Linked DNA regions of Anolis sagrei. The protein of the gene in region 4 interacts with the protein of the main gene of each other region in a pairwise test. Links are inferred from orthologs where the notes say so. Each region holds a gene or a part of one and is shown on either strand. Other genes may lie near its edges.

Region 1 (8,305 bases), on a different chromosome or scaffold from region 4:
TGGAAAACTAACAACAACCCAGATAATGTTGATTTTATACAGTTGTGCAGAAGGAACCTGAGCCATGGCAGTTCAAGTGGTTCCAAACTGTATTAATTCTACAGGGCGGATGCAGCCTTGGCCATTCTTGGTTATTATTTGTTGGTGATTTAGAGCTATGATAATGCATCAAAGGCATTTCTGTTCCATTCTAGGGTTTTTTTTTCTTTCTCAAGGGAACTGACTCTCGGGCTGGATCTACACTGCAATGTTATCCTGGTTATCAGAGCAGATAATCCACATCTGCTTTGAACTGGATTAGATGACTCTACACTGCCATATAATCCAAACTGGATAACCAGGTGTAGATCCAGCCTCATTGGATGCATCTACACCACGCATGGGCAAACTTTGGCCCTCCAGCTGTTTTGGACTTCAACACCCACAATTTCTAACAGCTGGTATTTGGATTTAAAGTCCAAAACACCTGGAGGGCCGAAGTTTGCCCATGCCTAATCTACACTGTAGAATGAATGCAGTTTGATACCACTTTTAACTGCCATGGTTTGATTGGGGCATTGTAGTTTTATTTAGCTTACTTTGCCAAATATACTGGTGCGTCACCAAACTATGACTCCAAGGCTTCTATAGCACTGAGTCATGGCAGTTCAAGTGGGATCAAATTGCATTCATTCTACATTGTAGATCAGTGGTTCTCAGCCTGGGGTCCCCAGAAGTTTTTGGCCTTCAACTCCCAGAAATCCTAACAGCTGATAAACTGGCTGGGATTTCTGGGAGTTGTAGGCCAAAAATATCTGGGAACCCCAGGTTGAGAACCTCTGGTGTAGATACACCCTTCATTTCCACCCTTTTTCGTCAGGGCAAAGATTATGTGAGGGAATTAGGGAAAGACCCTTAATGTAATCTACAAAGTGCCCCTCCCTTGGTTTTGGCCCAAACTGTGACCTCAACCCCAGAGGGTTTTCAAAGCAGAAGTTGGGGCGGGGTTTTGCAGAAAAGGAAGGAGATCCTCACTCCCACATCCGTGGTTTTTAGTCAGAAGTGTGAGAAGGTGTTAAAGCGAGGTCAAACTGCATTCATTCAATATTGTAGATGCAGTCGTAATGGAAATCTTAATGTCAGGAATCTCTTAATGATCTTTAAATGTCAACAGTGCATTGAAGAAACAGAGAGAGACCTTATAGGGCAGTGTTTCTCAAGCTTCCTAATGCCGCAACCCCTTATTGCATACAGTTCCTCATGTTGTGGTGACCCCCAACCATAAAATTATTTTTGTTGCTACTTCATAACTATAATTTTGCTACTGTTATGAATTGTCATGTAAATATCTGATATGCAGGATGTATTTTCATTCACTGGAACAAATTTGGCACAAATACCCGATACGCCCAAATTTGAGGGTTGGGGGGGGGGGTATAGATTTTGTCATTTGGGAGTTGTAGTTGCTGGGATTTATATTTAACCTACAATTAAAGAACATTCGGAACTCCACCAACGATGGAATTGTTGGAATTGGCACACAGAACTCCCATGACCAACAGATAATATTGGAAGGGTTTGGTGGGCATTGACTCTGAGTTTTGGAGTTGTAGTTCACCTACATCCAGAGAGTACAGTGAACTCAAACAATGATAGATCTGGACCAAACTTGGCACTAATACTCAATATGCCCAAATGTGAACACTGGTGGAGTTTGGGAAAATAGACCTTGACATTTGGGAGTTATGGTTGCTGGGATTTATAATTCATCTACAATCAAAGAGCATTCTGAACCCCACCAAACTTCCCATACAGCAGTCGTTCTCAACCTGTGGGACCCCAGGTGTTTTGGCCTACAACTCCCAGAAATCCCACCCAATTTACCAGCTCTTAAGATTTCTGGGAGTTGAAAGCCAAAACATCTGGGGACCTACAGGTTGAGAACCACTGCCATACAGAATCCCCATGACCAACAGAAAATACTGTGTTTTCTGGTGGTCTTTGGCGACCCCTCTGAGACCCCCTTGCAGGCCCCCAGGGATCCGGAGCCCCAGGTTGAGAAAAGCTGCCTTTTAGGGAGATATGTTTCTCTCTTGCTGAGTCTCTTTTAATCTTCCCTCTGTAAATATCCTGAAGGCACCAGATCTTGGAAGATAAGCAGATTCATCCCAGATTAGTACTTGGACAGCAGACCACCTACCAGTATCTGATTCTGTAGGCTATATTTCAAAGGTGGGAAATGGCAAAACCACCTCTGAGTATTCCTTGTCTTCACTAAACCTCACTAAAATCATGGAGCCACCATAAACTGACAAGCAACTTAAAGGCACACGCACACCAGATGTACTGTATTCCCTTTTGCTTTCATTTTTCTGCTTCTTCAGTTGATTAAACTCAATCTAGATATTTTAGGGCGTTTACGAGGATTCAGACAGACTTCTTGGAACAGCCTGTGCTCAAATTGAAAAGGAAGAAAAACAAAGAAGTTGCTGGCTAAATTTTGGGTTTTCTTCCCCCACTGGCAACACGTGGCATAAAGGAGAAACGAAAAGGCTTTAGATAAAAAAGCAAGTCTCTTGAAAGAAACTGTGTTCCTAACAGGAGGTTTAAAGTGAAAATCATAATAAAAGATGTAAAGGAATCCAGTAGCATTTTGAGATAAAGGAAAAGACATTTCCAGCACAAGCATTCTTCGGCTCCTGTGTTGGATGAAGTGGACTGAAGCCCAGAAAAGCTTTATTTTCGTAGTCTTAAGAGGATTTTTTTTTACAGTACCTTCCCCACCCCCAAACAAAACAATCTTTTGTGTTATTTTAATAAGAATTTGCACTTCGTTAAAAGGTACGCTAAGGCTGCTGTGATATGTACATGGATTCAAAAGTGAAGGTCCATTGAATATAGGAGGCCCAACCCAGTGATTCATTCCAACTAGAGGGAATCATTTAAATGTATTGTCGAAGGCTCTCATGGCCGGAATCACTGGATTTCTGTGAGTTTTCCGGGCTGTATGGCCATGTTCCGGAAGCATTCTCTCCTGATGTTTCGTCCACATCTATAACAGGCATCCTCAGAGGTTGTGAGGAGGTCTATGGGGAAACTAGGTAAGTGGGGTTTATCCATCTGTGGAGGGGAATGTTCAGGGTGGGAGAAAGAACTCTCTGTTGGAGGCAAGTGTGAATGTTGCAATTGGCCACCTTGATTAGCCTTGAATAGCCTTGCAGCTTCAAAGCCAGGCTGCTTCCTGCATGGGGGAATCCTTTGTTAGGAGGTATTAGCTGGCCCTGATTGTTTTCTGTTTGGAATTCTACTGTCTACTGTTCTACTTTTAGAAATTTTGTAATACTAGCAGCCAGATTGAGGGCCCACTGGTGGCGGAGTGGGTTAAACCACTGAGCTGCTGAACTTGCTGACCAAAAGGTTGGCAGTTCAAATCTGGGGAATGGGGTGAGCTCCCGCTACTAGGCCCAGCTTTTGCCAACCTAGCAGTTTGAAAACATGCAAATGTGAGTAGATCAATAGGTACTGCACCGGTGGGAAGGTAACCATGCTCCATGCAGTCATGCTGGCCACATGACCTTGGAGTGTCTATGACGTCAGCTCTTCGGCTTAGAAATGGAGATGAGCACCACATCCCAGAGTTGGACGTGACTAGACTTAATTTCAGGGGAAACCTTTACTTTTACCTTTAGCCAGATTTTGTTCATTTTCATGAGAAGACAAGAGTTCTTTCTCCCACCCTGGACATTCCACAGATATATAAACCATGCTTGCCTAGTTGCCAACAGACCTCACAACCTCTGAGGATACCAGCCATAGATGTGGGAGAAACATCAAGAGAAAATGCTTCTGGAACATGACCATACAGTCTGGAAAACTCACAGCAACCCATCAATGCTTAAGTAATCAATGCTTAAGCAAATCAAGTAACTATTGTCTATTATGGATGGAGATTGTGGGAAAATTCCTTTCCGGATTTCAATTCCCAGAATTCTGTAACTGATATGGATTCTGGGGAAAATCCATGCTGACTGAGAAAAATAGTCCAGAAAAAGGAATTTTGCCACACTGGTCATGTACTGAAGGATTTGGGGAGGAAGCTGGAAGAGAGAGATCCCTATAAATTGGGCACTAAGGGAGACTCCAGACTCCTATTTCGGCACCATAGGTGCATATAGACTGTAGAATGAATGTGGTTCGACGCCACTTGAGCTGCCATGAGCAAATGCTATGAGATCCTGGGAGTTGTAGTTTGGAAAGGCGCCAGCACTCTTTACCTAAATCCTGTGTCAAACAACAACTCCCAGGATTCCATAGCATTGAGCTGGTGGCAGTTCAAGTGGTGTCAAGCTACAGTCATTTTCCAGTGTAGACCAGGCATGGGCAAACTTGGGCCCTCCAGGTGCTTTGGACTCCAACTCCCACAATTCCTAACAGCCTCAGGCCCCTTTCTTTCCCCCCTCAGCCGCTTAAGCGCTTAAGCGGCTGAGGGGAAAAAGGAAAGGGCCTGAGGCTGTTAGGAATTGTGGGAGTTGGGGTCCAAAACACCTGGAGGGCCCAAGTTTGCCCATGCCTGGTCTAGATGCACTCATAGACTAATCCCACTCTGAAAGGATTAATGGCTGTCTGCCTTCAGTGCCTGGATGGCTTGTCCTTGAGAAAGGATGATTTAACACACACACACACTTCTAAAAGTAGTGGAGTATTGTTCAGGACAGGAGCAAACTCGAAATCCAGCATTGAGACAGTAAACTGGAACTACTGTAGTGTTTGGGAGGTGATTGGAAGGTGACAGCCATGGGGAGGAGCAGGTGGGTGGGCTAGAAATACATGTAAATTTCCACCTTTCCCATTTGTAAGTTCCTGGATCAGTTTCCAGCCCACCCACTGCTGAGTGAGTGTGTTTAGGATTGTGCTGCAATCCAACCCAGCAGACTTCCTGAGGAAACATGCATGGCCTTTTAATTCTATGGGATTCCTCACTAACTTTGAGTAAGTCATTCAGTAAACATTTTCAAAACTTTATTTTGTGCATGTATTTTCTGTGTTTTTACTGAATTTATCGAATTATCTCTGGTTTAATCTAGCTCAAATTTTTGTCTCTTGTGTTTTCATTACCAACTTGGCTCTATCAGCATAGTATATGTGTATGTTAACTTATGGTGATCCCATTAATTTCATAAGGTTGTAGGATAAAAATCCTTGAGATTCACATTTGTCCTCCAGATCTCTCACATATCAAGTAAAATTCTTCCCACTGTTTAAACCATCTCTTGTTGGTTGGAATGGGAAACTTGGAATGGGCAAACTTGGATCCTCGGAGTGTTTTGGACTTCAACTCCCACAATTTCTGACAACCTCAGGCCCTTTCTTTTTCCCCCTCAGCTGTTAGGAATTGTGGGAGCTGAAGTCCAAAATACGCTGAGGGCCCAAGTTTGCCCATGCTTGGTCTACCTCAGTGGTTCTCAACTTTCCCAATGCCGCGACCCCTTAATACAGTTCCTCATGTTGTGTTGACCCCCAACCATAACATCATTTTCATTGCTACTTCATAATTGTAATATCGCTACTGTTATTAATCATAATGTAAATGTCCGATATGCAGGATTTTTCATTCATTGGACCTAATTTGGCACAAATACCCAATACACCCAAATTTGAATACTGGTGGTGTTCAGGGGAGATTATTTTTGTCATTTGGGAGTTGTAGTTGCTAGGATTTATAGTTCACCTACAATCAAAGAGCATTCTGAACTCCACCAGCAATGGAATTGAACCAAACTTGGAACACAGAACTCTCATGACCAACACAAAATACTGGAAGAGTTTGGTGGGCAGTGACCTTGAGTTTTAGAGTTGTAGTTCACCTACATCCAGAGAGCACTGTGGACTCAAACAATGATGGATCTGGACCAAACTTGGCAAGAATATGCAATATGTCCAAATGTGAACACTGGTGGAGTTTGGGGAAAATAGAGCTTGACATTTGGGAGTTGTAGTTGCTGGGATTTATAGTTCACCTACAATCAAATTACATTCTGAACCCCACCAATGAGAGAATTGGGCCAAGCTTCCCACACAGAACCCCCAAAACCAACATAAAATACTGTGTTTTCTGATGATCTTTGGTGACTCCTCTGACACCCCCTTGTAACCCCCCCCCCCCGGGGTCCCAACCATCAGGTTCAGAAATGCTGGTCTAACTGGTGAATTTTGTGTCTGTCTTCAAGTTGCCTGCTGACATGGTAACCCCATGACTTTCACAGGGTTTTCTTAGGCAAGGAATACTCAGAGGTGGTTTTTTGCCAGTTCCACTCTATGACATACACCCTACAGCACTTAGTATTGGTTGGTGGTCTCTTGTCTAAGTATTAACCAGGGCTGACTCTGTTTAGTGTCCAAGATCAGACAAGATCTGGTGCCATTAAGGTAGTGTATTATTTACACAAGCTTGTTAAATGCCAACATCATCCTAAAATTTAATTAACTTGGGGCAATCTGACCAGGAATGTTTTTCAACCTGGAAAGCATCATTTGCAAAAGCATATTATACTAAACAGTAAGTGCAATAGAATTATTTGTGAAAAACAAGATCAGACATACTGTGGTTCAGATAGCGGGGGTGCTCCAAATGTTGTTGGACTGCTGCTTTCATTGGCCCTTCCCAGCATAGCCAGTGATGAAAAGGATGTTAACAGACCAAAACCATCTGGAGGGGGCTATCTCTTTCATTTTCAGTGTACTGTACATCTGGAATGGGCATCCCAACTAGAGGAAATAATTTAAAATGTGCTGTGAAGTTTTCTGGGCTGTATGGCCATGTCCCAGAAGTATTCTCTCCTGATGTTTTGCCCACATCTATGGCAGGCCGCCTCAAGAGGTTGTGAGGTCTATGGGAAACTAGGCAAGTGGGGTTTACGTATCTATGGTATGTCCGGGGTGGGAGAAAGAACTCTTGTCTTCTTGGCCACCTTGATTAGCCTTGCAACTTTAAAGTCTGGCTGCTTCCTGCCTAGAGGAAAGTAGTTCTTAAGCTGGGGTCCCCAGATGTTTTTGGCCTACAACTCCCAGAAATCCCAGCCAGTTTGCCAGCTGTTAGGATTTCTGGGAATTGAAGGCCAAAAAATCTGTGGACCCCAGGTTGAGAACCACTGTAGAAGGTGTTAGCTGACCCTGTTGTTCCCTGTCTGGAATTCCCCCCATTTTCTAAGTTTTGTTCTTTATTTACTGTCCTACTTTTAGAGTTTTTTAAAATACTGGTAGCCAGATTTTGTTCATTTTCATGACAGGACAAGAGTTCTTTCTCCCACCCTGCACATTCACAGATATATAAACCCCACTTGCCTAATTTCCAAAAGACCTCACAACCTGCCATAGATGTGGGTGAAACATCAGGAGAGAATGCTTCTGAAACTTTGCCCATGCCTGGTGTACATATTTAGGAAGAGTGCGTCCACACATGCACATGCAAACATAATTTTGCAGCACTGAAAAGGAAGCAGAAAAGAATGAAACAGCAATGTGGTAGATTATAAGATCCTAAAAGGCTGCCTTGATATATCCTCAAGTGTTCTTTAGTTTAAAATCATCCTGGCACATCTTGTTAATTATTCTCCTCCATTTTATTCTGATCCTAAAATTAAAGATTTCTCTCTGTTCCTTTCCCCCCTCTCTCCCCCTTTTTGTATGCGAAAGTAAACAAGGATAGCGAATTCCTTATTTTCCAGGGCTACCAGCATCCTTGAGTCAGAGATAAGAAGTCTGTGAAGTTTGTAGTTTATGTGATAATAGTAGATTGCGGGCTAAAGGATTAACTTGGAGAGGAATGTGTGCCCTCCTACTGTCCCAATGTGGGGGACAACCCACGTGTTAGCTACTTCCAAAATGTCCTTGGTTTTGCTTTACTCCTTTCTGCTTTTCAGTTTACTTCAATTAGTGTAAACAATAGTTTGCACTTGCATTAATTCAACAGGGGAGAGTTTTGCCCTTCCTAGTAAATTCAGACACAAGCAAATTGTTGCAGCCTCCCCTAGTTTTTGTGTTTTCCCCCTAATTAATAACTCAAGACTACGTTCTAATGTTGTTTGACCACATGTGTCACAGGTTTTGCCTGGAGGGTAAGGGAATGGGATGAAGTAGTTCGATGTTGGAGAAGTTAGAAGCTAAGACTTGTGAGAGTACATCTATAACAGGTATGGCCAAACTTGGGCCCTCCAGGTGTTTTGGACTTCAACTCCCACCATTCCTAACAGCCTCAGGCCCCTTCCTTTCCCCCCTCAGCCGCTGAAGCGGCTGAGGAGGCAAAGGAAAGGGCCTGAGGCTGTTAGGA
Region 2 (7,980 bases), on a different chromosome or scaffold from region 4:
CATGTGTGTGGTGTGTGATGTGTGATGTGTGTGGTTTGCCTGGTGTATGAGGCGTGTATATTATGTATGACCTGATGTGTGTGTTCTGTGTGATGAAGTGTTCTGTGTGATGTGTGTGGTGTGTCAGATGTGGGGAGGGGAGAAGGAAGGGGAGGGGAGGGAGGGAGGGGGAGGGAGGGGGAGGGGAGGGGAGGGGAGGGAGGGAGGGAGGGAGGGGGAGGGGGGAGGGGAAAGGATGGGAGGGGGGGGGATTGAACAGTCAGACTTTTGCCACAACTGAACACACATCTCAAGTCTTTGGGATTTCAAACTGGTGGGAAGAATTAAAAAGCAGAAGAAAAGAGGACGGTTCAGCCTGTCTTCCTTCAACCATGGCCTTCTACTCTCATCTCAAGATGTTTTGGGCTCAGTTCTGTTCACGACTGGTCAATGCTGTGATGTCCTGTTGAGTTCCAATCTAGCCAGAAGTGGATCCAACATCCAGACGGTTGAGGAGAGGAACATTGGGCATTGGGCAACCCATCAGGAAGAAGAAGAAGAAGGCCAAACGCCGCCTTGGCGTAGTCGTGGTTCTCTTGCTTTCCTCGGATTCCACCTGGCTCTCACTCCTGGTGCTGTTGTCTCCTGTTGTCTCCGCAAATTCACCTTTCTCTCCAAGTCTTTGGCACAGAGGATGTTTCCGACTGGGCTTGATCCGGCTGAAACCCTGGCTGAGATCTCTGCCGTATCCCAACACTTGTGAGGCTTTTCACCTGAGGAGAATGAGAAGAAGGACATCCCATGACACAAGGCAGCTTCACCAGCTTGGTGAAGGACCCAATTTTGGGCCCAGATCTAAAATATGAGGATGCCTGTTGCCCCCCACCTGGCTCCCTTCCCAGATCAGAAGTCCAGCAGGGAAGAGGAGTGGAGACCCCATGCCGGGAAGCCAGCCAGACCAGTTCAAACTGCTTTAATGAACCAGAGAAGGAAATGCAAAGACTACCCAAGACTTCTAGAACAAACTTTGTCCTGTGCTGCCTTGGACTCACCTGAGGAGGAGGAACGGGGCAACCCAAGAGCTCTGGTGTCAGTTGGAAGCCACTTGCAGCATCCTTCTTGCATCGTTGGCAACCAAACAGGCCTGGGTCTTTCTCAGCCATACGTGTGAGCATTTCTTCATGAGACAGATCTTCATGGTACCACTTATCCAGACATACTTGTCCCATGGGGGGCGGGGTGGGTGTTGATGTGCCTGGAGCTTTGCCTGAAAGCTTGGCCTCACCCTTGGTGTGTCTTGTGGGGCTTGTAGTCCAAGCTGTGCTCCTGCAGAAAGAAAGAAAGAAAGAAAGAAAGAAAGAAAGAAAGAAAGAAAGGAAGGAAGGAAGGAAGGAAGGAAGGAAGGGCTTGAGTCCACGGCACAAGGCGTCTGGTTCCCAAAGAGCAGTCCTGCTGCTGACACGAGGGTTTCACCCTTTGCGCCACTGGCTGGGGGCTCCGTCTCACAGAGTCATTCTATGGGACTTCTTCTGAGCAGTGTGGGTTGCATCGATTAGCATGATCGCCTTAGAGTTCTGTTCCTGGCTGTCATTTAGTTTTGCATATAGAAAAACATTTTTGTCTCTTCCTCTTCCTTGGTAGAGTCTTTATTCTGCTTGCTTGCATGTTTGTATTTCTGTTCTTTTAAATAACAATTAATGTAAAAGATGCCACATGTTTCCACTTTACTAAAATATACAGCACTAAAAACTTTGGGAAAGGTTCCTTCTTTCCCCAATCGCGGGTCAATTAACCAGGAACGGATCAGAAACGTCACAAAGGAAATTTCATATTTCCAATGTGGCCACAGTGGGACATCATCATCCTTTGTGTCACCACCACCACCATTTCTTGGGGGCCATGGAGCTCTGCGCGACTGCCTGTCTGTCACCAATCGAGTCTGCTAATGTCAGAATGAGACTCCCATGCCATAGGGAAGAAGGAGCATCCCCAGACTTGGCCTAAATGGGGCAAAATAGCATTCAACCGGGAAAACCTAGAATACTCACCAAAAATACATGTGCATAGCAGATGAACTCTGTGTTGAATTCAAGGTACATCTGGGTCTTCTATGTAGTGTAGTCAAGCCGCATATAACCACATCTGTAACAGATCCAAAGAAACAACTGGACAGGAGTTGGCTGCCTGGCAAGTGGCCAGCCTCTCTCCCTCCCAGCTGCCACCTCTGCTCAGACCTGAAGGTCATCCCCATAGTGACCTCATCATCATCATCATCATTCATGGCATCAGAGTGTTTGTGATCAGCTGAGGCTGCCTCCATGTCAACAACAGTTTAGGCAACCCTTGCCACCAGGCCCCATCTGCAATACTATAGGATATCGTTGAACTGCTTTGAACTGCATTCTGTGAAGCTACGTATGGCAGAATGCATGATGGCGCCTCGGGTGTTCTTTATTGGAAGTTACATAATTGGTGTAGAAGAGTTTAACAGGAAGCACTCTCTCACTAATCCAAAAGGGTCGGTTACGCACATATTGTGAACAGATAATTGGTAATATTGGAAAATACATATTATTATTTTTTTACATTTCAGTTGGAAGATGAGCAAGTGAAAGACTGTATGATAAAATGGGATGTTTATCGACCAGAAGTTGATGGCAAAAGTGACTAGGAGAGTGATATTGGAATCCTAGGATAACAGAGTTGGAAGAGACCACATAGATCATCATTAACTGACCCAAATAGTGCTTTTTCTGTGACTTTTGTGAGTGTTGACTATAAAAGTGTAGCTCAGAACTGTCACAGTTAGTTTCTCATCACAATATTAATACATGGTAAGAAATAGTTTATGTTCCCCCCTCCCCCATATAAAACTATGCTATAAAAGTGCCAATATATGGGAGATGATTTCCCAGCCACAGAGAACAGATATGACAATACAATGTATTTGGATCTCCAGTATGTTTTTTTGGTATATGCAAGGTCTACATCAGTGGTTCTCAACCTGCATGTCCCTATTATTATTATTATTATTATTATCATTATTATTATTATTATTATTATTATACTTTATTTGTACCCTGCTAGCATCTCCCGAAGGACTCGATGCGGCTTACAAAGGCCAAGGCCTCAATACAGAACACAACAATACACTTAAAGGAAATTAAAACTAAAAGGAAATTAAAACAATATTAAAACAACGAAACCACAGGCAATAAGCAGTACATCAAACAAGATAGAACTAGGCCGGGCCAGAGTAAAGGGTACAGGATTAAAAAGTGCTGATGTGACAGGTGATATGTAAGGGTTATAGAGCAAGTGCAGTGTGCAGTGTGCGGCAATCTTATTCTAATAAAGTGCTCATGGGACTTGGGATAGGAGATTTCCTATTCTGGGAAGGCACGTCGGAACAGCCAGGTCTTCAAATTCTTTCTGAAGACTGCCAATGTAGGAGCCTGTCTCAGATCTTTGGGGAGAGTGTTCCAGAGAGGGGGGGGCACCACGGAAAAGGCCCTGTCTCGTGTCCCCACCAAGCGTGCTTGCGACGCAGGCGGGATCACAAGCAGGGCCTCTCCAGATGAGCATAGTGAACGCGTGGGTTTCTAGACTGAGATGCGGTCACGCAGGTAGACTGGTCCCAAACCGTTCAGGGCTTTGTAGGTGAGCACCCATCAGGCCCGTAGCCAGGATTTCGTTTCGGGGGGGGGGGGGGGCTGAATTTTTTTCAGGAGGGGTTTCGGGGGGGGGGGGGCTGAATTTTTTTCAAGAGGGGTTTCGGGGGGGCTGAGTTTTGGGGGGGGGCTGAGTTTCGGGGGGGGGGGGCTGAGTCTGAGTGAAAGAGGGTCTAGCCTAGCAAACCTTTTGTATCATTACCCCAATTATACCCCCATGCATGTGGGATATATTGAGCATGGTGATCAGATCCTGATATGAATAAACATAACAGTTTAAATAATGCACCAGTCAGGCCTTTTCACGAACCACCATGAGAATTTCGGGGGGGGGGGATGGCTGAAGCCCCCCCCCCCCCCCCTGGCTACATGCCTGGACGCAATGGAGCCATGGCTTCAAACTCCAAGAGAGGAGATTCCACCTGTACTTGAGGAAGAACTTCCTGACCGTGAGACCGTTCAGCAGTGGAACTCTCTGCCCCTGAGGGAGTGTGGTGGAGGCTCCTTCTTTGGAGGCTTTTAAGCAGAGGCTGGATGGCCATCTGTCAGGGGTGATTTGACTGCAATATTCCTGCTTCTTGGCAGAATGGGGTTGGACTGGATGATGGCCCAGGAGGTCTCTTCCCACTCTTCTAGGATTCTATGATAAGGTGGGGCCCCGCCCGCTCCTGCCCCTTGGGCCCCTCCCGCCACCCCGGAGCCGCCCTCCCATTGGCCGGACCCTGGCCTTACCTGCGCCTCACCTCCATTGGGTGCCGGGCGCTCTTCTGCTTTGATTGATAGCCAAGGGAGGCGGGCGGGCGGGCGAGGGGGGGGGGGGGCGGGGCAGCAGGGCGGGGTCCCAGGTGCCAAAGACGTCCCCGCCTCCTCCTCCTCCTCCTGGTCTGCTGCGAGGGAGGGGAAAGGCAGGAGAGGCGGAGGAGGAAGAAGAGGAGGAGGAAGGAGGAGGAGGAGAGCAACGTGTCCTCCGCCGCCGCCCTTCTTCTCCTTCTCCTTCTTCTCGGGGCTGCTCTCCTCCGAGGCCGGGCTCAGGTAGGGAAAGGGAAGGGAAGGGGAAGGAGGGGGGGGGGGGGCTGAAGGCACGAAGGCAGCCCCCCGGGCCCCAAGAGGAGGAGGAGGAGGAGGAGGAAGAAGAGAAGAAGACGGGCCCTCCCTCCCTCCCTGCTGGGCCCCGTGCCCTCTTTCCCTCCCCCTCCCCCCTTCTCTCTGGCCTGGAGGGGTGCGGGGGGCCCCGAGCCCGGCTGCTCCCCTCCCTTGGCCACTTCCCTCCTCCTCCTCCTCCGGGACCCCCCCGACCCATGCCTCCCCCCCTCACGGCGCCCCCAGGAAGAGGAGCCACCTGTTCTGACACAGGTTTGGGAGAGAGAGAGGGGGGGGGTGGGGCTGCCTGTCCGCCCATGCAGGGAGTGGGTGTGTGTGTGTGTGGGGGGGGGGGGGGGGTACACGGATGGCCCGGACCCCGTGGCAGGAAGAACAAGGGGCTGCGAAGGGGCTTCTCCCCTCCCTCCCCCCCCCCGAATGTTCCTGGCAGGGAAGAGGTGGGAGGGGGGCGTGGGGCAGGCCGGGCCATCCCTCCGGCCAGGACCGTAGCCAGGATTTTGATTCGAGGGGGGGGGGTGAGTTTGATTGGGGGCGGGGGTGCTGAGCCTGAGTGAAAGTGGGAGGGGGGCGTGGGGCAGGCCGGGCCATCCCTCCGGCCAGGACCGTAGCCAGGATTTTGATTCGGGGGGGGGGGGTGAGTTTGATTGGGGGCGGGGGTGCTGAGCCTGAGTGAAAGAGGGTCTACCCTAGCCAACCTTTTGCATCCGTACCCCAATAATACCCCCTCCATGCATATGGGATATATTGAGCATGGTGATCAGATCATGATATGAATAAACACAACAGTTTAAATAATGCACCAGTCAGGCCTTCTCGCGGACCACCATCAGAATTTGGGGGGGGGGGGGTGCCTGAAGCCCCCCCCCCCGAGCCCCCTCCCCCCTGGCTACATTCCTGGCCTCGGAAGGACCCTCAAGGCCAGCCAGGCCAGACCCTTCTTTCCTTTTCCAGCCAGGAAAAGCACAATTGAAGCCCTCCTGACAGATGGCCACCCAGCCCCTGTTTCAAGGCCTCCGAGGAAGGCGCCGCTGCCAGACTCCGAGGCGGAAACCTTGACTCCTCACAGCCAGGGAGTCCTTCCTGGGAGTGTCTAGACAGAACCCTCTTTCCTGGGATTGGAACCCGGGGCTCCATTCAGGCCCAGCCTCCAAGGCAGGAGAAAGGAAGCCGGCTCCCTCTCCCTGGTGCCAGGCATTCCTTCTGCGGCAAGTGAGGGGGCCTGTTGGGGGGGGGGGCTCCCTTCTGCCCCAGGCAGGCCTCCTTCCCTTGCCCCACGACCAGGGAGGGGGGGCCCTGGCAGGAGGGGCCGGGGACAACATCTGAAAAACCACCCAGGTGTGCCATCTGTCAGGGGGATTTGAAGGCGACTGTCCTGCTTCTTGGCAGAATGGGGGGGGGGGGACTGGACGATGGCCCACCAGGTCTCTCCCAGCTCCAGGACTCTAGGATTCCAAGAAAGGAGATTCCACCTGAGCATGAGGAAGAACTTTCTGAGCATGAGGGAACTTTGAAACAGAGGCTGGATGGCCATCTGTTGGGGGTGATTTGAACGCAATGTTGGCAGAAGAGGGTCGGACTGGATGATGGCCCAGGAGGTCTCTTCCAACTCTAGGATTCTAGGATTCTATGACTGTGGGAGTTGTTCAGCAGTGGAACTCTCTGCCCCGGAGGGAGTGTGGTGGAGGCTCCTTCTTTGGAAGCTTTTAAGCAGAGGCTGGATGGCCATCTGTCAGGGGTGATTTGAATGCAATATTCCTGCTTCTAGGCAGAAGGGGGTTGGACTGGATGATGGCCCAGGAGGTCTCTTCCAACTCTTGGATTCTAGGATTCTATGACTGTGTTGTTGGGCAGATGCAACCTCACACACCTTCCTGTTTTGTGCCATGCTGTAACGTGACCTCCTCAAATTCCAAAGTTTATTGCACCTGATTTAAATATGCATGTAAGCTAATGAGTTATCCACCATCTCTGAAGGTGTTTGTGTCACGTTGCGTCTTTGGAAGGGTATATAAAGGGGGGGTGTATCCCTTTGTCCCCCCCCCCCCCCCATTTGCTCTTTTTGCTCTATTTTGCTCTGTTTTGCTACTTTTGGGATGTACCTGTTTGGAGGAGAGAGGCCTGCTTCCCATCTTTAAGGCCCAACTCTGAATGTAACCCAAAGATCTGTTACTGTATGACTTTACATCATGCAAGATGTTCTTAGTAAGCAAATTGTTTTATCTTTAACTCTGTGTCTGAATAGTTATTTTGCATGCGTATTTCCTAAAGTGAGAAAGTGGTCCACCCGGCCATCGGGTGCACGAGCAGAGCCGGCGCTCAATTGTTCTCCGCGTTCGATCCCTTCCCCATGACCGGCTCCCTTTCCTGATCCCCCGGCGCTCCACCCGCTTCCTCTCCCCAATCCACAGGTGGGCCAAGGGGCGGAGCCGGCATGCCTGGCTCACTTCGGGTCCAGAGGTGTGTCTGAAGACCCCAGCGTGCGCACCAAAAGTCGCCTCTTCTCCTGACTTTCTCTTCAGCCATTGAGACCAAGAGAGAGAGAGAGAGAGAGAGAGAGAGAGAGAGAGCCCCTCCGGCTGGAGGTATCTCCCACCTCCGCTCCCTCCTTTGTTTTTGCGCCTACCTTCAGGAAAGGTGGGCATCTCCACCTCTCTCTCTCTCTCTCTCTCGGTCCCAATGGCTGAGGAGAAAGTCAGGAGAAGAGGTGACTTTTGGTGCACACGCCGGGGTCTTCAGGCACGCCTCCGGACCCAAAGCGGGCCAGGCAAGGGAGCAAGTGCGGCAAGTGTAGTTACTGGGATGTATAGTTCACCTACAATCAAAGAGCATTCTGAACTCCACCAAGGATGGAATTGGACCAAATATGGCACACAGAACTCCCACGACAAACAGAAAATATATATCAATGATTGGTTGGGGGGGGGGCAAAATACTGTTTGCTTACCGTTGAAAATTACCTAGGGCCGCCTCTGGATACACCCCCCTTTATATACCCTTCCAAACATGTGGTCAGATGCGACGTGACACAAACACCTTCTTAGATGGTGTAGATAACTCATTAGCTTACATGCATATTTAAATCAGGTGCAATAAACTTTGGAATTTGAGGAGGCCACATTACAGCATGGCACAAACAGGAATGTGTGTGAGGTTGCATCTACCCAACATTGGCAGAATGGGGCGGGGCTGGATGGTGGCCCACCCGGTCACTTCCAGCTCCAGCGTTCTA
Region 3 (8,266 bases), on a different chromosome or scaffold from region 4:
CATTATATAAGGCATGTTGTTCATTCGTTCAGTCATCTCCGACTCTTCGTGACCTCATGGACCAGCCCACGACAGAGCTCCCTGTCAGCCGTCACCACCCCCAGCTCCTTCAAGGTCAGTCCAGTCACTTCAAGGATGCCATCCATCCATCTTGCCCTTGGTCGGCCCCTCTTCCTTTTTCCTTCCACTTTCCCCAGCATAATTGTCTTCTCTAGGCTTTCCTGTCTCCTCATGATGTGGCCAAAGTACTTCAACTTTGTCTCTAGTGTCTTTCCCTCCAGTGAGCAGTCGGGCTTTATTTCCTGGAGGATGGACTGGTTGGATCTTCTCGCAGTCCAAGGCACTCTCAGAACTTTCCTCCAACACCACAGCTCAAAAGCATCTATCTTCCTTCGCTCAGCCTTCCCTAAGGTCCAGCTCTCACATCCGTAGGTTACTACAGGGAATACCATGGCTTTGACTATGTGGATCTTTGTTGCCAGTGTGATATAAGGCATACCTGCACATATTTTTGTTGCCGCTAGTTAAGTCTTGCCTATAATTATTAATGCCTATGCCTTCCAGCATGGCGTGGCAGTCTGAGGGCCCTTCCACACAGCCCTATATCCCAGAATATCAAGGCAGAAAATCCCACAATATCTGCTTTGAACTGGGTTGTCCGAGTCCACACTCAGATAATGTGGGATTTCCTGCCTTGATATTCTGGGATATAGGGCTGTGTGGAAGGGTTCCGAGTCCACACGGCCATATATCCCAGTTCAAAGCAGATGTGGGATTTTATTCAGCTGCGTGGAAGGGGCATTAAAAACATTTAAACACAATTAAAATCAGCAAATATAATAAAAGCGCTGTTGCCGTTGTGTGCCTTCGCGTCGCTTCCGCCTGAGGGGGAAGCCTGCCTTTGCTGACTTCCTCCTAGGCTGAGAGAGTGGCTGAGGGAGCCAGGCCTCCGCTGCTCAGCCGCGCCTTGGCAACCGGGCTCCCACAGCCCAGCGGCAGAGAGAAGGAGCTCCTCGACCACCGGAGCGCTTCCCTTACCCGGCTGCGCCCAGGCCCGAACCAGGCCGGCTCCCGTCAGCACCACCAACAGCGGCAGCGCCAGCCCCCGCGACCTCATCTCTGCTCCTTCACCAGCGAGTGGAGCTCGGCTCAGCCTTGGCCCTGTGGCGCATCCGCTCCGGCTCGCGAGGCCTCTGATTGGCCGCCCGCAGTTCTAGTCCCACCTCCCGAAGGGGCCGGGCGCCGCCATCTTAGCGCTGGCTATGTCGTTGTGTTTGGTTTTGACGCCCGCCTTCCGCGCAAGCCCAGCCAATGAGAAGAGGCGTTCTTTTCGTCTAGGTATTTTGGACTTCAGTTCCCAGAATCCCTGGTCTTTGGCTCACGTAGCTGAGGTTTCTGGGAGTTGAAGTCCTAAACGCCTAGACGCTTAGCATCACTTAGTGGTCTAAGACAATGGGAATGTGAGAGATTTTTCTGTCCCAACATTTCTATTGGTTTGTTGTGTCCTTGCCTGTCATTGGCTCCGCCTGTGACCTACAGCCAATAGGATTGCGCTGAGTGTAATAGGGACCATATGGTGATTCACTGTTACTAAGCAAACTCCTGTGGACGTCAGAAATATCCCGAGTTTTTGTTGGACCTTGTGGAGCGAGTCACAGTGCATTTGTATTCAGCTGTATGATGAAACATATTATTATATCTATGCAATAGTTTTGCAATATATGTATGATGCAGTATATTACTGCCTAGAGAGCCATTGTGGGGTTTTTTTGTCGTGTCAGGAGACTTGAGAAACTGCAAGTCACTTCTGGTGTGAGAGAATTGGCCGTCTGCAAGGACGTTGCCTAGGGGACGCCCGGATGTTCTGATGTTTTATCATCCTTGTGGGAGGCTTCTCTCATGTCCCCGCTTGAGGAGCTGGAGCTGGTAGAGGGAGCTCATTCGCCTCCCTGGATTCTAACCTGCGACCTGTCGGCCTTCAGTCCTGCCGGCACAGGGGTTTAACCCACTGGGCCACCAGGGGCTCCAACCATTGTGGTGTATTGCTTCAAGTATTGGGTTAGGACACTGGGTTCCTGTCTGCAGTTCCATTTAACCCAGTTTCTGAATCCAGATTTTTTTTCCCCAACTGAATTATATGTCATCAAAATGCGGATGAAACCATTGATCATATCCTCAGCTGTTGCAAGAAAATCAAACAGACTGACTACAAACAGAGGCACAACTCTGTGGCCCAGATGATTCACTGGAACTTATGTCACAAGTACCACCTACCAGCAGTAACGAATTGGTGGGATCATAAACCCGCAAAGGTAGTGGAAAACAAACACGCAAAAATACTGTGGGACTTTCAAATCCAGACTGACAAGGTTTTGGATCATAATACAGCAGACATCACGACTGTGGAAAAGAAAAAAGTCTGGATTATTGATGTCACCATACCGGGTGACAGTCGCATTGAGAAAAAACAACAGGAAAAACTCAAAACGTTATCAAGACCTCAAAATCGAACTGCAAAGGCTCTGGCATAAGCCAGTACCGGTGGTCCCAGTGGTCATCGGCGCCAAAAGATCTCAGCCGGCATTTGGAAACAATCAACACTGATAAAATCACTATCTGTCAACTGCAAAAGGCCACTTTACTTGGATCTGCATGCATCATTCAAAAATATATCACACAGTCCTAGCCGCTTGGGAAGTGTTCGGCTTGTGATTTTGTGATACGGAATCCAGGATAGAGATCTCGTTTACTGTGACATACTGTGGTTTTGCATCAGTAAAATAATATGTCATTATTATTATTATTATTATTATTATTATTAAACTTTCTTTATACCCCGCCACCATCTCCCCTCAGGAACTCGGGGCGGCTAACGTGAGGCCAAGCCCAACAAATACAATAAACAAATGAAATACATACAGCAAGATAATAGCTTGAATTAAATTAAAGTAAAAATTAAAATAATATACCACAATAAAAACAATAACCTAAAAACAATAAAGGCAAATTAACACAGTGGGATACAACATTGTAGACTTATGTAATCAAGTTCAAAGCAGATAATCTGGATTCAGAAACTGGATTACGTGGCAGTATAGATTTTATTCTGTATGTTTTATGTCTGTTTTGTGGAAACCGCTCTGAGTCCCCTAGGGGAGATAGAGCGGTATATAAATAAAGTTTTTTATTATTATTATATAAGACCCACAATAGTGAAGACATCCTATAATATTGCCATCTGCTACCAGGAGCCAACAGTTGAGTTAAGAAAGGATGATAATGTCATAGAAGCTGATATTCAAAGGAAAGAACACAGGCCAATTTAGAATTTAACCCCCACTGCCTTTTGTTTCCGAGTGGATTAGTGGTGACCATCCATATATGTGTACCCACTTCAAGACACCTATTGATTTATGGCAACCCTGAGCATTTTGTAGAGTTTTCTTAGACACTCAGAGGGTGTCTTTTCCATTTCCTTCCTCTGAAATATTGCCCACTGCACCTGGTATTCACCATAGACCATTAACATTATTTTTCCTGGCTAATTTATTTCCTGGCTAGATTATTTCTTATGGAAAGCTTAAGGTAAAAAATTAAAATGTTTATTTCCAGGAACTACCTAGCTCTGGTATTCTGTAGTTTGTCCCATGTCACTTAAAATCACAGTACTTTACAGATGGTCTACTCAACTAATGTCAGTAACCCTGAGGAAGGACCCTAAGGCTAGATCTACAACAGTGCCATAGAATCCAGTTTCCGAATCCAGATTATGTACTTTGAGCTAGATTACATGAGTCTACCCTGTCATATAATCCAGTTCAAAGCAGGTAATCTGGATTCAGAAACTGAATAATGCAGCAGTGTAGACGGGGCCTGAAAAATCAAGGTTCATATCCCCACTTAGCCATGGAAACCCATTAAGGCCCCATTATATACACTGTAATATAATCCAGTTCAAAGCCGATAATCTGGATTCAGAAATTGGGTAATGAGGCAGTGTAGTTAGGACCTGAAACATACAGGTTTCCATTCCCACTTAGTGAAGGAAACCCATAAAGGACCCATCTACACTGTCATACAATCCAGTTCAAAGCAGATAATCTGGATTCGGAATCTCGATAATGTGGCAGTGTAGACAGGGTTTGAAAGATCAAAGTTCACATCCCTACTTAGCTGTGGAAACCCATTAAGGCCCCATCAACACTGCCATATAATCCAGTTCCTGAATCCAGATTACCTGCTTTCAGCTGAATCATATGCAGTCTGAGTGATCATAGAATCATAGAGTTGGAAGCGACCTCATGGGCTATCCAGTCCAACCCCATTCTGCCAAGAAGCAGGAAAATCACATTCAAAGCACCCCCTACAGATGGCTATCCAGCCTCTGTTTAACAGCACCCAAAGAAGGAGCTTCCACCACACCCCGGGGCAGAGAGTTCCACTGCTGAACAGCTCCTACAGTCAGGAAGTTCTTCCTAATGTTCAGATGGAATCTCCTTTCTTGAAGTTTGAAGCCATTGTTCCATTGCGTCCTAGTCATCAGGGCAGACTAAAACAAGTTCGCTCCCTCCTCCCTATGACTTCCTCTCACATATTTATACATGGACCTCATCATGTCAGCCTTCTCTTCTTCAGGCTAAACATACCCACCTCTTTAAGTCACTCCTCATAGGGCTTGTTCTCCAGACCCTTGATCGTGAGGCAAGTCACACTCTCTCAACCTCAAAGGGAGGCAAAACCACGCTGAAAACAATCTTGCCAAGAAAACCTCACTGATAGGTTCACCTAAAGGGCACCATGAGCTTGAAAAGACCTTGAAAGCCTCAGGCAACCCACTTTTTCTCAGCCTTAACTGGAAGCCACAGATAAACTCTACATGAAGCGGAAGTTGTGTCCTGCGCATGCCTCTCTGCTCTTAGTAAACAGTGTTACGGCTTTAGAGCTCCTACTTCCGGGTCGGTCTAGCCTCCTTTCTCCCACTTGGTGGTAAAGTTGGGAGCGGCCTGTGCGACAATAATAGCAGCATCATGGCCGGCATCAAAGGTAGCTTCGCGGTGGCGGCATTGAGGGGAAGGAAGGGGAGGGAGCTAGCCGGGCAAGGCGGAAGGGGGCTCCCGGGGAATGAGGGAGGGCGCTGGGGCCCCCGGGCGATGACGCCCCTTACAACGTTTGGGGCCCCGCTTTGTTTCCATGGCAACGGAGGCCTTCTCGGGCGGGAGGAGGGACTGCTTAGCCAGGAAGGCCTTGTCCTCCCTTCAGTTGGGGCCATGTGAAGTGGGCAGTGTCTAGGCCCATTGGATTTAAACAGTTTCTGCGGTTCGAACTGAGCCTTCCTGTGCAGAGACATCCTATCAGGCCTCCAGCTGCGGCCCTCCAGCTGTTTGGGCCTTCAACTCCCAGAATTCCTGGCCATTGAACAAGCTGTCTGGGGCTTCTGGAAGTTGGAGGCCCAAATAGCTGGAGGGCCACAGTTGGAGGATGCTTGCATTACATCTCTGTTGAGGGGCACTCCTGTCAATGTGATGTGGGAAACCAATACCTCCCCCCCCCCCCCGCCATGTGATAGGAAAGCTGCTTTAAATGTGTACATTTTTGATATAACGACTTCTTTCAGTCATGGAAATTTGGCAGGATAGGCATCAGTCCAAGTACTAGCCCCACCACTGCAAAAGGATCCCATATATATAATGTAATGTAATATATTGTATATACATTTAATATTTATACTATTATAATGTAATTCAGTATAATGCTAATAATAAAAATATGTTATAATTATATATTTTATATTACATGTAATACGAGGGGTATTTTTTAAGTAAGGTCCGTTTTGTTGTAGACACTAGTAGTTCGCGCGCATACCGCAACGAGCGCGTGCGTCGTGTACCAGCATGCCTCGGGAACAACTGTGTTCAGTTTCCGCTCTGTAGCTAACCTGTACGGTTCTGTTCTGTGCTTTAAAAATGTTTCAGACTATCAACTCACCCTCCTCATGTGAGGTTCGCTCAGTGATATGATTTTTGTCAGCAAGGAACCTGCCTGCTGCAGAAATTCATCGACAGATTTGTGAAGTGTACGGTGATACTGTTATGAGTGAAAGCAAAGTGCATAAGTGGGTACAACAATTCAAAGATGGCAGTGACAACGTCCATGATGAGGACCGCTCCGGTCGCCCTTCTTTGATTACAGACGATTTGGTGGCTTCAATTGAAGCGAGGAATCGTGAGAACAGGCACTTCACAATAACAATAATAAAAATCTTTGAATTGTCGTACCCACTTACACACTTTGCTTTCACTCATAACAGGCACAACTACACTTAATGTCAAGGGGAAACCTTTACCATCTACATAAATAAAAATGTAATGTTCATTTGTGGGATTAACATAACTCAAAAAACACTGAGCGAATTGACACCAAATTTGGACACAAGACACCTGTCAGGCCAATGAGTGACCGTCACTCATAAAAACACTTGAAAACACAGCAGAAGGGACTTTATAAACTAAAAAAAATGCAAAAAGATGCTGCAGCACATGTGCAAAATCACATATATACACAAACACACATATATACACATACACACATATATACACATATACACAAATATACACACACACATACGCATATATACACACACAAAACACATATACACAGACTGAGCCACAGCAACACGTGGCAGGGAATGGCTAGTGTGTGTGTGTGTATTGGGTATATAGTAGCACAATCGCTGAATAGGTAATTGACAGCAATTATGTATTTACATTTTAAATATTGCTTTATTCACTTAATTTTTATTTTGTTTTATATCTCGCCCTCTATTCCTCATTGAGGGACTCAGAGCAGCTAACACTCGGCAATAATTTGATGTTGTTCAGTCATGATGTAATACTAAGTCAAAATACATAAAAATCAAAAACACAAAGATTAAACAACAATACACGATAAAAGACATTAAAACCAATTCCTTTAAAACCAGTTCCATCTCATTGACATTGTCGAAATCCATCCGTAAATATTTCAAAATATTTTTAAATATGTAAAGGGCTATAGAAGTGTATTAAATAATAGCTGTCCTGAAGTTACTTATTTATGAGCTTATCTAAAGGTGATGCTTGTGGACGGGGGTTTATACTTTTCTTTTAAAAATCTACTTCCTTCCACCAAACTGCATTCAGTGTTCTTATTTTTATTTCAAAGCGGTTTAACTGGAAGGTTCTAGTGAGAGAAATAGAAGCAGTACTTTCATCTCCTTTCGGTGTATCGTTCTTGTCTGCAGAGCAAAATGTTCAGAAATTTTGGAACACTGATACGATTTTGTTTCTCTTTATAGCTTTGATCAGCCTGTCCTTTGGGGGAGCTGTTGGACTAATGTTCCTGATGCTTGGCTGTGCACTTCCTCAGTATAAGTATGTATACTTTCATCTATATATGAGTTAGCTGTTGACTTAGTTTCCTTTCCATTTGTAATTCTTTGTTCTTTTCTATACCTAATTGTTTTGAATAAATAATCAAAAAGAACACTAGGAACCCTTAAAAGGCTAGAAGGCAAAGGAAAGCCATCCATGCCTGCTCTTGGTGAGACACACAGACTCCTTAGTTACTTGCTGAAATTGTTCTGCTTTATTGCTACTAAATTGCACTCTGCTCATTATAAATCTATATAGAATAATGTAGTGCTGGAGTAGCTCAGTATTGCATTCCTCTGTATATCTGAGAAATGAGACACAATAAAACTTGAGTGACATCAACAGAGCTTCAGTCAGCTTTATAATATTGTTTGAAGTCTATGAACAGTTTCATATTCCAATTAAATTAAAATACTTGGATGTACATGCATTTTAATCTCACTACCTTTAGTAAATTAATTGTAATACTATGAAGAAGTGTTGTTTAAGAAAACGCTGAGAGAAGACACGATAGCCATGTATAAATATATGAGGAAAAGTAATAGGGAGGGGAGGGAGCAGGCTTGTTTTCTGCTGCTCTGGAAACTGAGAAGCAGAACAATGGCTTCAAACAACAGGAAAGGAGATTCCACCAGAATATTAGGAAGAACTTCCTAACTGTGAGCTGTTCAGCAGTGGAACTCTCTTCTCTCGAGTCCGGTGGAGGTTCCTCCTTTGGAGGCTTTTAAACAGAGGCTGGATGGCCATCTGTCGGGGGTGCTTTGAATGTGATTTTCCTGCTTCTTGGCAGGGGGTTGGACTGGATGGCCCACAAAGACTTTTCCAACTAATGATTCTATGAAATGTGTTCTTGTTAA
Region 4 (7,831 bases):
ACTCAGTGCGGCTTACATGAGGTCAAAATAACATAAAAACATAGAACCAAGCAAAATACATAAAATGCAAAATCAAAACAATATATGACGCAAACAATATAAAATCAAGAATTAAGGAAAATTTCACAAGGCAGGGCCAGATTCACGGATACAATTTTTAATTTTTTTAAAAAAACATTGGGAGATAGGACATTGTAAATTATATGGAGGAGGCTCCGGGAATGAGGAAGGATTTCATTGCACAAACCAAAAATAAAGTGCTTCTAAGGACATTTTGTGCAAAATGTGGTCAGGGAGAATCTTACATTATCTTAAATGTAATCGTACTTACATTTAAGTGCAGGCCAAGGTCTTGAGGCACTGCACCCAGTGTGCCCATCACCTCCGGGACCCCTGAAGTCGATAGGAACTTCAGGAGGGTCTGCCCCAGGAGGAGAGACCCTGTGGCCTCACCAAAGAGGGATCACTACATTGGTGAGCAAAGAGAAGCCTGATTTTAAGCAATTTTTATTTCCCTAGGTTCCCAAACAGAATCTCACCAAGGTTGAAGAAGCACCACCGAGATGTTTATTAGTGATTCAGCTGAAAAGGATGCAAAGCCGCGATCATTCGTCAAGCAGAGCATGTGGTTACAGAAATAAATGCCATTTTTATAGAAAATACAGAGTTGTGAGTTTCAAAATTCCCGATGGTGATTGGCTGGCGCGCTAACAGCTTGGCCGTTCTCTGTGCGCCTGGGCCAATCATAGGGCTTCCGCGGTGCGCCTGAGCCAATCAGGAGGCTCCCCCACCTCGACACTCCAGTGAATCAGAAGGGAGGGAGGCGAGACAAAGAGATACAATGCATTCTTGAGTGGATTATGGAGTTTAATAACCTGGAGGCTTAACGAGTCTGGAACCTGCCTGCCAGAAAAACCAACTTTATTGTCTTGAGATGGGTCTGCAATAAGCATTGATCACTTAATCCGGCTTTTCCGCTTGCGATCAGATAGAGCACAAAGGGGAAGACTTTGGTGAATGTCTTTAGTGGAGAGATTTGAAAGAAAAACGGGTTGGGAGGGAAAGGGCTTTACGAAGGTCATCTTTCCCCCATTATTATATGATTAAAAAGTCTGCCAAGCGGAAATCCTCTTGATGGCCCTACTCCGAAGTCAAGAAAGATATTCCTTTGTTATTGTCCACGCAAGAAATGTCCTAAGATAAGGGTACTTTCATGATCGCTAATTGCTTTTCAGAGACAGGGCAACTTCCCTCAAGGAAAGGGGAAAGGGGGTAAAAGGGTCAGGGCAAGGTCAGATACATGAAGGGAAATATAGAAATCTAGTAATCTTGATGAAAAATCATATCCAGGCATCCCCCCCCCCCCCAAACAGAGCAATTTTAATCACAGCACAGTTTGAGTTCATAGTTCATTTTGGAAAAATTCATGGGTGAAAAAGGTTTTTTTTTTAAATGAAGTCCAAAAGTATATGACAGAAAGTCCAAGTCACAAAAAGGAGTCTGGTGACTTCCACTGAGCCAAAAGATGGAGTCCTGCAGTGCTGAGGTCGAAGCTGGTCCTTGGTCCTTGGAAAACTATAGCTCCTTCCAAGGGCTGAAGCCTGATGATGAGGCTTGGATTTTGACTGTTCTCCTTTTAAAAAATATTCTTGATAAACCAAAGGTTATTCCCTGAGCCTAGGGGCCCAAAATGCAAAAAAGCGAGATGGCAGATAGGGTTAGAATTTAGCTAGGAAAGATATGGCATCAAAATGGAGTCGATCCGTCAACTTGCGGATATGGGGCCCCGAAGGGTTTCTGTATCCGCGGTTTGAAGGAAAGCAGATTCAGCCTCCCTGGGACGCCAGGAAGGCATCCCAGGCAGGCCTGCGGTCTCCCGCAGCCCAGAAAAGGTTGTTTCATGCATTTATTTATTTATTTGCTTTATTTCTATACCACATTTTTCAGCCCAGTCAGGCGACTCAATGCGGTTTACACAATACAGGTTATCAAACAATGTCATAGGCAATTAAAACACATCATATACAACAAACAAAATCAACAACAACTATCAAATCATGTCATAACGCCTCAATGAAATCAGATCCGTTCTCATAATCCTTGTGCCATTCCTATGTTCAATTTTACCGTCTTTCTGTGTTCAGTTGCACTGTTTAGCCAAACGCTTGCTCATAAAGCCAAGTCTTAACCTTCCTCCGAAACGCCAACAACGAAGGGGCCTGTCTGATGTCTACAGGTAAGGCATTCCATAGCTGAGGGGCCACCACCGAGAAGGCCCTGTCCCTCGTCCCCACCAGACGCGCCTGTGACGCAGGCGGGACCGAGAGCAGGGCCTCCCTGGACGATCTTAATGTCCAAGTCAGTTTGAACCAGGAAAGGGACACAAAGTATCATTCTGGAGAGGTTAGGGTTACAATTCATTTAATCTTTATTGAGGGATTTGTTACCTAGTTTGGGCTGGGAAAAGGAGTGAGAGGAAAGAGCACAGGGCGGCAAAGAGTCCCCGGTTGAGGCTGCTCTTGCGGGGGCACCAGTTTCATCAGTTTCAGCCCAACTGGGCATCCAGGAACTGTGGAACCCCCTGCGGCTGGTCAGATCAGCTTGAAGGCAGGGGTCAGGGATGCCCTCGACGACACCCCCACGATTGGCTTTGCAGCTCGATCTTTCAATCCTCGCATCGTGTCAGCTTTTCCAGTTGCTTCTCGTTGATCGCCTGGGATTGGCAAATCCATGACCCAGGCACACTTGGTTTTTCCCCACAGTTGTGAGGTCAGGAGTCGTGTGCTCACTCAGCCTGAATCCGGAAGTCCCAGAGTGGTCTGACGTGTTCGTTTCCTGTGACTCTAGGCAGGCTGGCGATCCCACCCGGATCTTTGTGGCACCAGTTCCAATGTATTGTCAAAGGCTTTCATGGCCGGAATCACTGAGGGGTTGTGGTAGGTTTTTCCGGGCTAGATGGCCATGTTCTGGAGGCAACTTTTCTCCTGACGTTTCGCCTGCATCTGTGGCAAGCATCCTCAGACCTCACTACCTCTGAGGGTGCTTGCCATAGATGCAGGCGAAACGTCAGGAGAAAAACTGCCTCCAGAACGTGGCCATCTAGCCCGGAAAAACCTACCACAACCCACAAGTTCCCATGTTGAGATGTTGTTGATGCCTCTCCCATAGCAGGCCCCCTCCCTGCCTGCCCTTCCCCTCGGCGCCCGCCAGGTGGCGCCCTCGCCTCGCCTTCCTTAGAGGAGCGGCTCCGCCCCCTTTTGTCTCGAGAGGGCGGGGCCAGGCCTCGTGACCTCGCCGGAAGGGCTTCCAGGCGGGGGGGGGGCGAGGGGGGCCGGGGGGGGCAGGAGATTAGGAAATCCGCCGGAGGGCCCCCCCTCCCCAAAGGCCGCCCAGCTCGGAAAACAGACCATGGGATCGGAGATATCCTCTATTCCATTATTATTATTATTATTAGATGAATAATTAATAGTCCTTGTCATACTCCTCATTTACTCCCAGTGTGGGTCTCTATGGCTGTTCTCTCTCCCTCCTGGGGGGCTCCCAATGGCATGCCTGCCCTGCCTTCCTGGCTCACCCACGGGGTCGCCCTCCCCTCCCCCCGTCAGCACCTTGGCCAGCTCCTTCCTGAGACTGCCTTCCGCACATCTCCCGGGAAGGAAGGCGGGACTTCCGGGCAGCCAGCCCTCTTGGGCTGCGAAGGGGGCGGGGCGAGCGAGCAGGGAGAAGCCCCGCCTCCCCCTGGGGGGGCCTTGAGAGGAGGCGGAGCCAGCGAGGGGGCGGGTTTCCCCTTGGCCCGCCCCCTAAGGGTCTCTCTGCGGGCTCCTTCCCGAAGCCGCGCCCTCTTGTCTTGGCCCCGCCCCCTAAGGGGCTCTCTCCGTGCTGCGAGGGGGCGGGGCCTGAGAAGGGGGCGGCCCTCTCTCCCTTGGCCCCGCCCCCTGAGGGGCTCTCCCTACTGGCTCCTTCCCGAAGCCACGCCTTCCCTCCAGAAGCCCCGCCTCCTCCTCCTGGCTTGGCCCCTCCCCCTGGGGGGCGTTGAGAGGAGACGGAGCCGAGGGCGGGGAAAGCCAGCGAGGGGGCGGCCCTCCCTCCCTCCCTCCCTTGGCCCCGCCCCCTGAGGGGTCTCCCGGCTGAAGCCCCGCCCTCCGCTCCTGGCCTGGCGCCGCCCCCTGAGGGTCTCTCTCCGTGCTGCGAGGGGGCGGGGCCTGAGAAGGGGGCGGCCCTCTCTCCCTTGGCCCCGCCCCTGAGGGTCTCCCTGCTGAAGCCCCGCCCTCCGCCCGTGCTCCTGTCTTGGCCCCGCCCCCTGAAGGGGTCTCTCCTAGCGGCAAGGGGGCGGGGCCTGCGAAGGGGGCGGCCCTCCCTCCCTCCCTCCCTTGGCCCCGCCCCCTGAGGGTCTCCCTGTTTCCGGAGCCTGCCTGCCTGCCTGCCTGCGAGGGGGGCGTGGCCTGGAGCGGGGAGAGCGCGAGTCGGCGCTCCCTCCCTCCTTCTCTCCGCTTGGCCCCGCCCCCTCCCGGGCTCCGCCCCCTGGGGCTTCCTCCTGGCGCGGGCGGCTTCCAGGCCAGAAGGCAGGCGGGCGGGCGGGCGAGCAGGCGGGCAGGAAGGAAGGAAGGAAGGCAGGCAGGCAGGCAGGCAGGCAGGAGGATGCGGGCGTCGTAGCGCCGCCATGGGCTCGGAGCCGCCTCTCCCCCCCGCTCCCGCTGCTCCGGCTCTGGCGTGCTCGGCGTGGGTGTGGCGGGCGCTGGGGGCGTTCCTGGCGCTCTCGCTCTCGCTGCACCTCCTCACCCTCGGATGCTACCTCGAACTCCGCTCAGAGATCCTGCGCCGCCGGGACACCCCCCCAGGGGGCGCACACACGCAACACCAGCACCACCAGCACCACGCCCAGCTCCCCACACCAGCAACAGCAGCAGCAGGAGGGGCCGGGGGCGGGGCCCAGGCAGGGCCGCCACGCCCCCCGCAAGGCACGCCCCCCGCCCACCACCACCAGCGGCAGGTAAGGGGGGCGGGGGGGGACGTGACCCATCTGGGCTTGCACCTGTTACTAAGGGGCATCCTGTCTGTGTTAACATAGAAGAAGAAGAAGGGGGAGCTGCCATGGGATATCATGAATAGGATTAGCATAGAATAATAATAATAATAATAATAATAATAATAATAATAATGGGAGGGGGATCTACCATGACATCTAATGAATCTTATTAATATATAATAATAATAATAATAATAATAATAATGATGGGAAGGGGAGCTACCATAACATATGATGAATCATATTAATATATAATAATAATGGTGATGATGATGGGGAGGGGGACTACGATGACATATGATAAATCATATTCATCTTAATATACAATAACAATAATAATAATAATGGGAGGGGGGAGCTGCCATGACATGATGGATCATATTAATATATAATAAGAATAACAATCATAATTCATATTAATATGTAATAATAATAATGGGAGGGGGAGCTGCCATGAGATATCACGGCCAGGTATAACTATGTGAGGGGAATACGTCCTAGGGAGGAGGAGGGAGCAAGCTTCCTTTCTGCTTCCTTTCCTTGGAGACTAGGACGCAATGGAGCAAAGGCTCCAAACTACAAGAGAGGAGATTCCACCTGAACCTGAGGAAGAACTTCCTGACTGGGAGAGCCGTTCAGCAGTGGAACTCTCTGCCGTGGAGTGTGGTGGAGGCTCTTTCCTTCTTTGGAAGCTTTTAAGCAGAGGCTGGATGGCCATCTGTCAGGGGTGCTTTGAATGCAATATTCCTGCTTCTTGGCAGAAGGAGGTTGGACTGGAGGATGGCCCACCAGGTCTCTTCCAACTCTAGGATTCAATGAATTATATTAATATATAATAATTAGCTATATAAAGAAACATGATGATGATGATGGGAGGGGGGATCTGCCATGACATAGAATGGAGCATATTAATCCATAAAAATACAGTATAACAGTAGTAATAATAATAATAATAATAATAGTAATAATGGTGGAAGCTCCTTCCTTAGTCGCCATTGTTTTTATTATTATTACTATTATATTTGTTATTCATTCATATGATTCATCCTGTGCCATGGCAGAAGATTCCAGTAAATATGGTATTGAGGGTTTATTATTTATATATTATTTATTCATTCATTCATTCTTTATTTATTTATTTATTTCCCACCCCTCCTTTTGGCTCGAAGCAGGGCACAACATGCATTATTAATACTATTATTATTATCATTGTTATTCCTTACCCACCTCTCTTTTTGTCTCAAGGTCCCCAATGACATGTACTGTTATTATTATTTTCATTATTGTTATTATTGTCATTCCTTACCGGCCTCTCTCTTTTTGGCCCGAGGCTGGGCACAGCGCAGTTTACATGCATTCCATAAAAGCACCTCGGAGGGCATGCGCCGTGGGTGCCGTAGGGGCCGGAGGGATGTGTCCCGTGGGCCCGGCCCTATTTTTTATTTATTTATTTGGGGTTCTTTTACCCCGCCCTTCTCACCCCGAAGGGGACTCAGGGCGGCTTACAAAAGCAAGGCACAATTTGATGCCTGCATCATAAAAACAATCAAACACAAAATTACATCAATACACAGTTAACACCAAATATACATTATAACCATAAAATCAATAAAACCAAATACAAACCCAGTTTGTCCTCTTACATGGTCAGCGTTTGCTACTCATAGATCTAGTTTTCCGTTCCACTTCATCAATCCTGCTGGTCTTACTCGCCTGGTTGTCTGATTTAATTGCCGGAGTGCCCAAAGGCCTGGTCCCATAACCACGTCTTCACCCTTCTCCTGAAGGCGAGGAGGGATGATGATGCCCTGATTTCCCCTGGGAGTGAGTTCCACAGGTGAGGGGCTACCACTGAGAAAGCCCTGCTCCTCGTCCCCACCAGCCTCACTTGTGACAGTGGTGGGGTCGAGAGCAGGACCTCCCCAGATGATCGCAGACTCCAGGGTGGGACGTAGAGGGAGATATGTTCGGACAGATACACTGGACCAGAACCGTACAGGGTTTTGTAGGTCAAAACCAGCACCTTGAATTGTGCTCGGAACTGAATCGGCAGCCAGTGGAGCTGGCACAGCAGAGGGGTGGTATGCTCCCTGTATGTCGCTCCAGTGAGCAATCTGGCTGCCGCTCGCTGGACTAGTTGAAGTTTCTGAACAATCTTCAAGGGCAACCCCACGTAGAGCGCATTGCAGTAGTCTATTCAGGATGTAACAAGAGCGTGGACCACCGTGGCCAGATCAGACTTCCCAAGGTACGGGCGCAACTGGTGCACAAGTTTTAATTGCGCAAAAGCTCTCCCGGCCACCGCTGAGACCTGGGTTTCCAGGCTCAGTGATGAGTCCAGGATCACTCCCAAGCTGCGAACCTGCGTTTTCAGGGGGAGTGGAACCCCGTCCAGCACAGGCTGTAACCCTATGCCCTGTTCGGCCTTACGACTGACCAGGAGGACTTTTCCAAAGGGCTGTGCAAGGAGATGGCTGCCCTTCAGGCCTTCCTTCATGGGCCGTTGGGTCAGTTCCCTGGGGCCCAAGCCCCCCTTCAGGCCTGGTCAAGCACACAGAATGATGGTGGCCTCGTCCTTGGCCATGCCTCTGCCCATGCGTTTGAGTTTGGGAACACACTCCCATTCCACGGTGGCTCTGTTTACTTTCCCTTTGGGATTTCTGGGCTCACGTGCAGGAGGTGGGCCTGTTCTGCAACCGGCTGGGGGGGATTGGCCACTTGGGGTGTCCGTTCTGTTTCCTTCAATCCTCTTGCAGAGCACTCGTGTTTATGTCCACCAAAATAAGAACTGCTTTGGCTGAAAGG

What was found.
Region 1: the proteins of EDA (region 4) and EMP3 interact in binary tests that used the Homo sapiens proteins (3 or more experiments, as listed by UniProt). The two-hybrid records come from large-scale screens. The link is inferred for Anolis sagrei from reciprocal best matches to the Homo sapiens genes EDA and EMP3.
Region 2: the proteins of EDA (region 4) and CYB561 interact in binary tests that used the Homo sapiens proteins (3 or more experiments, as listed by UniProt). The two-hybrid records come from large-scale screens. The link is inferred for Anolis sagrei from reciprocal best matches to the Homo sapiens genes EDA and CYB561.
Region 3: the proteins of EDA (region 4) and LEPROTL1 interact in binary tests that used the Homo sapiens proteins (3 or more experiments, as listed by UniProt). The two-hybrid records come from large-scale screens. The link is inferred for Anolis sagrei from reciprocal best matches to the Homo sapiens genes EDA and LEPROTL1.

The regions. Positions count from the first base shown.
Region 1 is NC_090026.1:19,343,456-19,351,760, reverse strand, and holds the start of EMP3 (epithelial membrane protein 3), read left to right. Parts: upstream 1-4,855; 5' UTR 4,856-4,925; coding exon 4,926-4,968; intron 4,969-8,305. UniProt on the Homo sapiens protein: Probably involved in cell proliferation and cell-cell interactions.
Region 2 is NC_090021.1:345,162,114-345,170,093, reverse strand, and holds the start of CYB561 (transmembrane ascorbate-dependent reductase CYB561), read left to right. Parts: upstream 1-4,516; 5' UTR 4,517-4,682; intron 4,683-7,980. UniProt on the Homo sapiens protein: Transmembrane reductase that uses ascorbate as an electron donor in the cytoplasm and transfers electrons across membranes to reduce monodehydro-L-ascorbate radical in the lumen of secretory vesicles.
Region 3 is NC_090022.1:195,309,232-195,317,497, reverse strand, and holds the start of LEPROTL1 (leptin receptor overlapping transcript-like 1), read left to right. Parts: upstream 1-4,935; 5' UTR 4,936-5,027; coding exon 5,028-5,043; intron 5,044-7,333; coding exon 7,334-7,409; intron 7,410-8,266. Other genes in the region: SARAF (store-operated calcium entry-associated regulatory factor), read right to left, coding at 1,039-1,117. UniProt on the Homo sapiens protein: Negatively regulates growth hormone (GH) receptor cell surface expression in liver. May play a role in liver resistance to GH during periods of reduced nutrient availability.
Region 4 is NC_090030.1:172,922-180,752, reverse strand, and holds the start of EDA (ectodysplasin-A), read left to right. Parts: upstream 1-4,597; 5' UTR 4,598-4,660; coding exon 4,661-4,990; intron 4,991-7,831. UniProt on the Homo sapiens protein: Cytokine which is involved in epithelial-mesenchymal signaling during morphogenesis of ectodermal organs. Functions as a ligand activating the DEATH-domain containing receptors EDAR and EDA2R. May also play a role in cell adhesion.